Caenorhabditis elegans: one gene and its partner. The protein of the gene in region 2 interacts with the protein of the main gene of each other region in a pairwise test. Each region holds a gene or a part of one and is shown on either strand. Other genes may lie near its edges.

Region 1 (4,986 bases), on a different chromosome or scaffold from region 2:
TCATCTGTTATTTCATAATAATCTGGCATGCATCTTTGAAATTAGAAAATTTTCATATTTTAACAAGATATTGACGAGCCTTCTCGTATTTTTTCCGATGGGTCTCGCCGCACAAAAAGTGTATGGTAAATAGGTTTAAACCTAGGTTTTTTTTCAATTTTTTGCTGCTACGCTTTTCTTGTATTTTCAAGAAAAAATCACTTAGTTTTTAGCGAAGTTTGTCGTTTTCTACTCATTTTCCTGTTTAAAATTGTTTTAGATCAGTTTTTTCCATAGTACAATTAACATTTATGATCAAAAATGCATGTTTTACACGAAGAAGGATATTAAAAAAATTTAACAGAAAAATGCAAAGTTAATAAGAAAATTAGCAAAAAACGAAGTAATGTTTTTAAAAAAGGAATGAAGCAGCCGAAAAAGTTAAAGAAAAGTACCATAAACTTTTTGCGCCTCGATGCCCATCTGAATAACTCCGTGTGCCTTTAAGAAGGTATATTAAAATTTAGTGATATCACATATATACAGAACTGAATTTAATAGTCAAAAAAGGTATTATAGATGAAAAACTCGCGGACAAAAAATTTACAAAACAAGTTATTTTTTAATGAAAAACATATTTTATAAGTTTATCTCGACAATAACAAACAAAAAACAAAACAAAACAATGAAACTATTACTAAAAAACATTGCAAATGTTACATGAGTTGACAAATAACACATTGTGCAGAGTCGTAGCGAAAGACGATCAGCGAATTCTGCGAAAACTAAACTTCAGAATAAAATAAAGTATATGGAAAAACCTACTAGAAAAGATCGTGTGATGGTCCTGGAGAGTCTTTATCTACATTCTCATTGTCGACTTCTGGAGTATTTTTCAGCGAGTTTTTACATTTTTTATATCTCCGCGGTTTCCCAATATTTCCGATGATGGAAGAATGTGCTGTAATTACACATTGAATATCAATATTTCATATCTGTCTAATACCTCCGAAGCACTTTTGGAAAAGATCGAAAATCGCCACTTCATCAAATTCGATATTGAACACTCTGAAATAATCGTGTTTTATATAATTTATTGAACAATTGACGGCTTACTTCTGAATATTAAACCCATCACACCTCACTTCTGGATGCATTTTTTGATAGTGATACTTCATTTGGGGATGTGTACTGCAAGAGTATTCACATGTGCGACAAACGAGACACTTTTCATTTTCATGAGTCATTGCATGATCCAGAAGTCGTTGTTTGCCGTATCGAAGTTTCCACGAGAGAATTTGCTTACAACCCTGAAAATAGCTTCTTTTTTTTAAATGTTGTCATATTTCCTGAACATCCTCCCTAAGAAATGGCTCAGATCGGAACTTACTTCGAAATTACATTTAATAATATGATTTTTATTCATTTGCTCGTTTCGCTTGTTAAGACGTTGGACAACTGGAACAGCAAACGAAACTTTTTTCGTCGAAGGAATCGGGCTCTCATCCTCTTCATCATCTTCACTGTTTTCCTCATTCTGCTGTTCTGCCTCATCAATTTCTGTTCCAACTTCTTCATAATTTCCGATCAGCACAGTATCCTCATCATCGAAATCATATTGAAACTCTCCCATGGTATTATGCTGCAAAATATTCAATTAAAAACGAAAATCTCATCATGTTGCGACAATTTACAAATTAGAAATAAAGGAAATCTCTTCAATCCTACCTCAGTTGACAGTTCTATGACTGGATGATGATCAACGATATGATTCCCAATCGAAACTGTTCTTTCTGAATCCGTAGCTTTCAAAACCGGCTTCACGTCCTCAGAAATAGAACTCCTGGGCTCAGTGCAAAGACTTTTTGCTGACAAAAACGATTCATTATCTCCATATTCATTAATTGGTTGTTCATATGAGAATCCATCTTTATCCAGTGGAATTGGTTCGGAGTGTGGCACCATGGTTTCATTTGAGCTTTCAATCGATCTAAAAAACAATGAAATTCTCAAGTATATATTTAATTTTACTGGTTTTTGGCATTATTGGAAGTTTGGTCTGTCTTCAATTGAAAATAGAGTAAGTATATCAACGTTGCTTAATTCGCTATACGAACGGTCAGAATTCTCGTCAGAAAAATTCTTACGTGAGCCGTCTTCTTTTCGTTAACTTTGAAACTGTAGGCTCTATTTTGACAGTTTCTTTGAGACTACTCAGAGTACTCAAACGTCTCGAGCTTCTTCTCTTTCCTTCCTGATATGGAACAATGGAACTAGCTGCTTCAGGAAGTGCTCGATAAAATGACGATTCGACCTCCTGACAGTTGGGGATCAAAGTGGTACAGTCATTGGAGGAATCTTCGAATAATTCATAACCTTGATAATTCGAATCAATTTCGGAAATTCTTTCTGTCATGTTCATTGTAAACTTTCGATCCAAACCATTTTGTGGTTTGATGGGAGTTGAAAAGCGGGGAACACCAATGTTTGCGAGAGTTGTGCTCAAAAGAATCGGAGCTTGATCAACATCGGCAACAGTTTGTACCATTTCTTCGAGCAAATCCTGAATCACGTCTTCCCTGGAAGTTTCGGATTGATAAGAGTTCTCCAGGCATTTATCAGTTTTATCGTCATCCGATAGAATCTCCGATAGCTTCTCAGCCAAATTCAATGTGAAATTTTTTGCAGAATTATATTTTGAATGGCCGACAGCAGGAGTTGAAAATCGAGGAAGCTTGTTAGTGGCCAAAGTTGTACTTAGTGGAACAACTGGTTCGATTGTACTTTCAGAATATGTAGAGCTTTCATTAGTTAAGCTCGTGTACATTGAGCCCTCCACAATCCAAAGCTTGGAGCAACCGATATTGTTCTGAAATAATAACTACTATTCAAATTCAAATAGCAAAAGATAAAATTTCCTTATCAAACCAACCAAAAGAGATTCCAACACAACTCCCTGTTGCTGAAGACCTTCTATAGTTTTCCCATAAATGTTCACTTGAATAAAACTGTTCCAGTCATCGCAGGTCATCTGAAAAATATACCATGAAAACATCAAGAATTAAAAAAATGTCCAAAAACATGTTCTCAGGCGTATCGACAACCGTTATTTACATAAATTCATCGCAATGAATAGTGAAGAAATTGAAAGTTTGTTATCATGATGATAAATATCAGGCTTAAAACAGTCTTTATTCATCTACTGGTTAAAATACAAAAAGAACAGGAACTAAAACGCGGAAACGAAACAAAATACTTCCGACAAATCTAGAAATGAAGAAAGACCTGATCGTTGTGAGACCTTTGACAAAAGTATAATGTGCCTTGAAAGTATACGGTAGGAAGAAATATAATACTGTATTTACTTACAATTAGTTTTTAAATTTTGTTGCATACAGCATTTCTTTTTTTGAAATAATTTTTAACATTTACATTTATAAAAACTACATTTTTGACTCTAAATAATTGTGAAAATATCATGTTTGATTCGTCAAAAGAACGATTAATCCAAAAAAAAAAAACACAATTAACTGAAAAAACACTGTATTTTATTTCTGTAAAACTACAAAATAATTAGAACATGATAATAATTGTACATGAGGGTGTCGTCGTGATGCTCATTAAATTCTGTTAAAACTGGATTTGAAATTAGTGATATGAGCAGTTATGGAGCTTACAAAAACATCTTCACATCTTCCGCTTGTACTCTAGAAGAGATTTTGGTTTTCTATAAGCGAATACTTTTGAGTTTTCGACGAGGAGTTCGTTCAGCTTTTCTAACGGGTCCGATCGTTTTCAGTTGATCTGGAATTTGAATAGCATGTAATCTCTAAATAATTAGAATAATGTACCTCCAAAACATTTATTCCATACATCTGAGAATTTGGTATTTTGAAGAGGAATGCTACAAGAGGGGTTTATCAGTTTTCAAACGGTTAGTTTTAAAAAATCTCACTTGAGAATTCCGAAGCCTTCCATTTTCAGATTTGCATGAATCTTTTTGTAGTGATAACGCATTTGTCGAGTTGTCTGGCATGAATATTCACATTTCTGGCAGTCAATGGATTTTTCCTCTTGATGTGATAGTGCATGATCGACCAGTCTAAGTTTTCCATAACGAATCTTCCAGTGAATTTTTCGATTACAGTTCTGAAAAGATTATTGATTGAAACACATTATATCTATGCGACTTTTTATTGAAATTCAGTTTTTTCTCTGACAACGCGGCAAAACAACTCACATCAAAATGGCATTTAATGTTATGAACTTTATTCATTTCTTCTTTTTGTTTGTTGGGACTTTGAACAAGTGGAAATGCAAATGAAACTCGATTTTTCGAAGGAATCGGGCTCTTTTCCTTTTCATCATCTTCACTGATAACCTCATACTGATCTTGATCATCTACTTCAACGATTTCGGCTCCCACCTCTTCATAGTTTTCAATCAACATAGTATCCTCGACGTCAACGAAATTATTTTGAAACACTCCTTCGATGTTATGCTGCAATTTCATTAATGAAAACGGATAACTCAACAAGTTGTGATTATTTCAAATTCGATTTTTAAACATTACATCTCTTGACAGTTCTATGACTGGAGGTTGATCACTGATAATGCTTCCAGTCAAAACTGTTCTTCCAGAATTCAAAACTTTCAGAACTGGCTTCAAGTCGACAGCATTACAAAAACTGGGCTCATCACAATGACTTTTTGCTGATGAAAATGATTCATTATCTCCATATTCATTAATTGGATGTTCGTACGAAAAACCATCTGATTGAATAGCTGATGTAGAAACAGGAAATGTATGTTCAATATTAGGACGCACAGTTTGACTTAAAATTTGAATCGGCCTGAAAATAACGAAATTCTTAAGTAAATAACTATCGGTGATTGGAATCGTTAGGAGTTTTGAGTATATTTATAACTTTAGTCCTTTCGATACCAAAAAAAGTTTTTTTTAAATAATGGAACTTTTTTTTTAATCGACATGAGTTCTGCTTAAAG
Region 2 (5,133 bases):
ACCTGCTTGCCACGTCACAGTTCTGAAGCCAGACGTCTGGTGAAGGAGGCTCGTCAAGGAACAGTTCAACTTGATGATCACAAGATTTCCTTTGTCCACTCAGTTCAAGTCCCAGTTGCTTGCGTCGCTTATTAATTCATAAGCTCGGCCGGCCTTTTTTTTCATAATTTTATAACTTCTGCTAATAATTGTCTTTCTAGTACAAGTTTAGAAATAAATTTTCATTAGTTTATTTTTAAGCTTTTGGAAACTGTTTCATATCCATCATCAAGTTGCAGAAATTTGGTAGAAACATCAAAAATTACTTATGGTTTTTTCAACGTTTTGGCGTAACAGAAAATAAATCGAGTTTAACATTTTAAAAAGAAGTTGTTAGTGTCTGAAATCTTATTTCCGATAATCGTGAAAGTTGATGATACGAATCTTCGGAATTTGAGAAAGATATACTAAACTGATAGAATTTAAAACGTTGCAAAGAAAATAAAACAAGTAAAGTGCTCTGTCATTTTTTTTCGGAGGTTTTTATTATTATGAAAATGAAATTAAAACAAGAAATCATGCTGATCATGCTGAAGATAAAATGGCAAAGATGAGGATTGTGAAGGCAAGTTTGGCAGTTCTGAAAAAACACAATAAGTATGCTTAGTCGATTGGTTTTTTTAGAATGAAAATTGGTTTTCAAATATTCCAGAATTTCGAGTTTTTTTGTATTCCTACTTTTCTTTACAACTGCCACATTTCATTTTGTAACCACTGACCTGTAGTGAAGCATGTAAACCGTTTGAAAGTCCACGAGTGGCTACAGTCTCGAGTTTAGACCCTGAAAAATTGATCTGTTTAAAATCGAATTGAAATATTTAAGATACCATATTTTTCTCTAGTAGAAAAAGCACTCGTTTGTGAACCATGTGTTCGTAACTTTTACACTCCAGATTGCCCATGATGCTTCTCTGAAAACAATTTAAAAGTGGCTTTCAAATTGATATCTTTCTACTTACGCATTCATCAAGCACACCATTTTGATTATCGTATGTCTTATTTAAAAGATTATTCATGGCGTTGGTAATGTCTTCTTCGCTTGGTGGTTTAACATTTTCTTTGTCTTCTGACTCATTTTCGGCTGGGGGACTATGTCTCTTGGTTTTTGTGGCTAGTGGAACAGGAGCTGTGACATCGGTCTTTCTTTTTCTTCCTCTCCTGGATTTTGGCACCGGAATTGTGCCACTTAATTTCCCCTTGTCTCCACCTCCTGTGCTCGTTGTTGATATGGGTGCTGTGGGATCCATTTTCGGTTTTCTTCCTCTCTTTTTAAGCTCTTTGGACACATCCTTTGGAACTTCAGATGTTGATGGTTTTCCAATCCAACCTCTACATGCTGCTTCCCCACATTGACATGGTTGGTCACTAAAATTTTAAAAGTTCTGTAAAGTATAAAAAGGTCTAGCATAACAAAATCAAATTGTGATTTATTTAAAATTTTGGGATTTTTTATCGGGGTTCGGAAAATGGAAGAAAAAAGAAAAATACAAAAGATTTTGATAAATTGTTTTATTACAGTTCATTGCCAGTATGTATTTTGTCGCAATGAAAAAGTATACTAAAAACTCACTCCAAAAAGATGGGTATTGTTTTCAAAGTATTACAAAGTCAACTTACTTTCTGAAGGAGGTTCCATAGTCAAAAGTGATCTCTTCTCCTGGTTTTATGACTTTCGATGCAAAAATTCCCAGAGACTTCATAGGTCTATCCGGCACGGTCCACACTTTTACCAAAGCGTTTGGATTGCAGGAATGATTGATGAACCGTGCCGAATTCCCTTTGCGTGTCGGGTCCACATAGTAATTTCTTCCCACTTCAAACGAATAACTGTGCTTGATTCCATCTTTTTTATAGCGCTTAACGCGTTTATTGTGCTCGGCCTTGGTTATCGCCTCTCCCCGATACTCAAGGATTAACTTGCCAGTAGCAATTTCTTCCGTTGCTCTGAGCCCATGTCCTATGCCATTGTCAGTGAGGAAAGTTTCAACACCGCAAAACTGTCTTTTGCGAAATCTTTGATTTTCGCAATTTGAACATCCTCGGGGACATTCGCGATGATTTGCGAAATTGCTACATTCCTCCGTGGTGCAGTCCGTGCCGCATTTGCAGCTGAAAAATGTTTACTTAAAGAATATAAGAATATTCAGACAACGAGACAAGAGTTAATCAATCTTCGATATAAATAAAATTTTCTCAAAACTTTGCATACTTCAAAGAAAGACTAACGGCTCTGTGTATTTTGAACTCGAAAATTTGTCTCATGGGCTCACGAATATTGTACTGAAATTTCTCAATTTCTCACAAATTTTACAAAAAAAAGTTTATTACGGTTCACAATTTCGAAAAAAATTCAGTTTATTCTAGCGAAAGTCTTAAATTTTGCCAACCATTCCATGTCACGGCTGTTGGAAATTAACTTTTATTTGATTATCATCTTTTATTGTAATTTTTGGTTCCTCGTCTCACATTACTTTGACTTAAACTGATATGTAACCAATGTCGATGATTTTTGGTTACCTGTGGGAAAATGTGCTAAACTCAAGATTCTGTCTAAACTCTATTGCTTCAATTGTATTTCTTATTTACAAAAAAAATTTAACAAAACTAACCTTGTCACTGTGAGCAATCCAGTTTTTCTTTTCGGACTGCAAATGAAACTGTAGTCCATCCTTCTGGTATTCGGGAAAAATTTTGGATCGGTCTGAAATTTTTATACAACAGATTATTCGTATTTGTCAATTCAAGGTGTATATTGTTGATATAATATAGTTTCCATACTAGTCTTATTTAATATTTTTAAGTTTTAAATTCAAGGTTCTCTTAACGTGTTGGAATTTTTTGTTTCAAAACTATAATTTGAGTTGATATGTTCTGTTTTTATATAAAAGCTATGTTTTTATGAAAAATTTAGGTGCTTGATAAGTTTGCACGTATGTTAGACCTGTTTGACATATATTTTCCGTCAATTTTGTCAAAAAGTAAGGTATTTTCTTGTAGAAAACTGTTTCCGTTTCAATCAATATTTTGTTTGTAACCAAATCAGTTTTTTGCTCAGATCTCATGAAGTATCTATATTTTACAATAAGAATCTCAGCCATAATAACATTAAAAGTCGGAAACAAATTAGAAAATTAGACAATAAGCATATTATTGAGTGAGAAGTAAACTAAAACGGTCTGGATATGGAAGGCTAGTTTTTCAAAATAAATCTTGCTTAACAACTCACATTGTAGACAAACACTGAATTATTTTTCTTGGTCAACTGCGTCTTTTTGTTTGTGCTAGCTCTGGTTCCTGGCATTATCCTAGTGTTGGAACGGAAGTCTTGTACAGTTTTAAAAACTAAAATGCAAACTCTCAAAGGTTTTGCGAAGAATTGATGCGATGAAGAAATGAGAGCAAAGTTGTTAACAATCAATGAATTCTGAAATAAAAAGGTTAGGCCTACAAAATAGGTTTGAGATGAGCGAACAGAAATGTGGTAAAACAGGTAAACGCAAATGACGGTATGACATCGAGTGCTATCTAATAGAAAGAGAGAGGAGTACTCTTTTCGGTGGACCATAAGGCATCGGCAATTGGAGCAATTAATGCTCAATAAGGTGAAAAATAACTGAAATAAGCACAAAAAAAACGACAACCATGTAAAAGTGAAAGTGGTATTAAAGTGAGAAATAATGAAAGCTTAGACATTATTAGCAGAACATTTCTAAATGTTTCTCGAATGCAATATTCAGGAAAAGTTCTAAAATTTTGAACCATCATGATATTTTCTTCAAAAATTAAAATGAAAATAATTGGAAATTAACATCACAATGTTATGAAAAACAAACTAAAACCAGCGAAATAAAAACAACATACTACTTATTCGTTCAAACACCAGACATTCTTCTAACTAGAAAAAAATCAATACTGTACTCTAATCGACGGACCACACCATTCATACCATATGGGAGTCTTGAATGGTTGACTCAAAGATTGGCGTTGTTTTACAGTTTTCTTATGGGAAATCAGGAAGACAATGCAATAGAATAACGCACAGATGCGTGAACTTTTCCTAAGTGCCAAGGATTGACGAATAATACGGTGCATCATCTAGCGGGTAGTCATAAAATAAAGAAAAGAGAACCATTTGGGGATAAGAGGAAAGTTGTCTTTCTAAGGGTGTCGGCGGGAAAGCAAAAGGTGATGAAATGAATGTTTGTGAATGATAGAAAGTCGAATTGTTAGTTTTAATTTAGCAATTTTTATGTTTTCCGCCTAAACATGGTTCCAATAGGCGATTTGAGTTTTTTAAACCCATTTTTCATCACTTAGGTGATTTGCCAACATTTTGATCGATTAGAAAATATTTAAACAGCTTGAAACCCATTTTCAATGTAGGTTTATAAAACCTCCACAGGGCCTTCTTCATTTAAAAAATGTATAACTTATATATTTTTTGTATGTTCAACGCGGTTAGAAAATGAACACTTCCACATTTTTAGAGATTTTTATCAAAAAAGTTTGAATTTTGTGGAACAATTTGGAATAAGTCAGAACAAACAGAAATTGACGCAAACATATATGTTTTTAACAGTGGAATGAGAGAAAAACCATGGATGTTTCTTTTGTTTTATGCTAAACGCAACGACCTTCAAAATGACAACGACAAAAATCGTGAAACCAATGTTAAAAACATCAAAAAGAAAACTTATAATTATACTGGAGAAACAGAGTAAGATGCACTTTAGAAACGTCTTATCTTAAGCATTGCCAAAAAAACCTTTGCCTGCGTCTGCATTTATAATTATTTCGCAACAACCCAAAGTTGTGAACTGAACACCTAATTGTTCATTATAAAACTTAAGCAAATTAAAATACATTTCTAAAATTTCGGAAATCCAACATCAATTTTATTGAATTATACATGTTCGGTAGAAAATCTGAAAAATAGTATTGAGAATACCAAGCCGAGTTATCTAATAAACATTTGGATTGTTGTCACTTCCATGCTTTTTTTATTTATTTAATACATACCAATTTCCTATTTCTTTATATCCACCGCATTTTGTTCCAGTGTGACCATCATAAATTTTTGAATATTGGAAAGAC

Evidence for each region. Proteins that work in one complex are often made in the same cells at the same time.
Region 1: the proteins of set-12 (region 2) and zim-3 interact in a two-hybrid assay, tested with the Caenorhabditis elegans proteins (one large-scale study listed by BioGRID).

What each region holds. Positions count from the first base shown.
Region 1 is NC_003282.8:10,556,745-10,561,730, reverse strand, and holds zim-3 (C2H2-type domain-containing protein), read right to left. Parts: upstream 3,017-4,986; 5' UTR 3,011-3,016; coding exon 2,912-3,010; intron 2,849-2,911; coding exon 2,127-2,848; intron 1,970-2,126; coding exon 1,708-1,969; intron 1,622-1,707; coding exon 1,370-1,621; intron 1,290-1,369; coding exon 1,096-1,289; intron 1,048-1,095; coding exon 986-1,047; intron 941-985; coding exon 805-940; intron 765-804; coding exon 746-764; 3' UTR 521-745; downstream 1-520. Other genes in the region: zim-2 (C2H2-type domain-containing protein), read right to left, coding at 3,707-3,783, 3,831-3,883, 3,935-4,128, 4,220-4,480, 4,553-4,832.
Region 2 is NC_003284.9:7,732,809-7,737,941, forward strand, and holds set-12 (SET domain-containing protein), read right to left. Parts: upstream 3,464-5,133; 5' UTR 3,341-3,463; coding exon 3,266-3,340; intron 2,741-3,265; coding exon 2,649-2,740; intron 2,149-2,648; coding exon 1,657-2,148; intron 1,405-1,656; coding exon 999-1,404; intron 951-998; coding exon 867-950; intron 821-866; coding exon 800-820; 3' UTR 759-799; intron 620-758; 3' UTR 526-619; downstream 1-525. Other genes in the region: vit-1 (Vitellogenin-1), read left to right, coding at 1-135.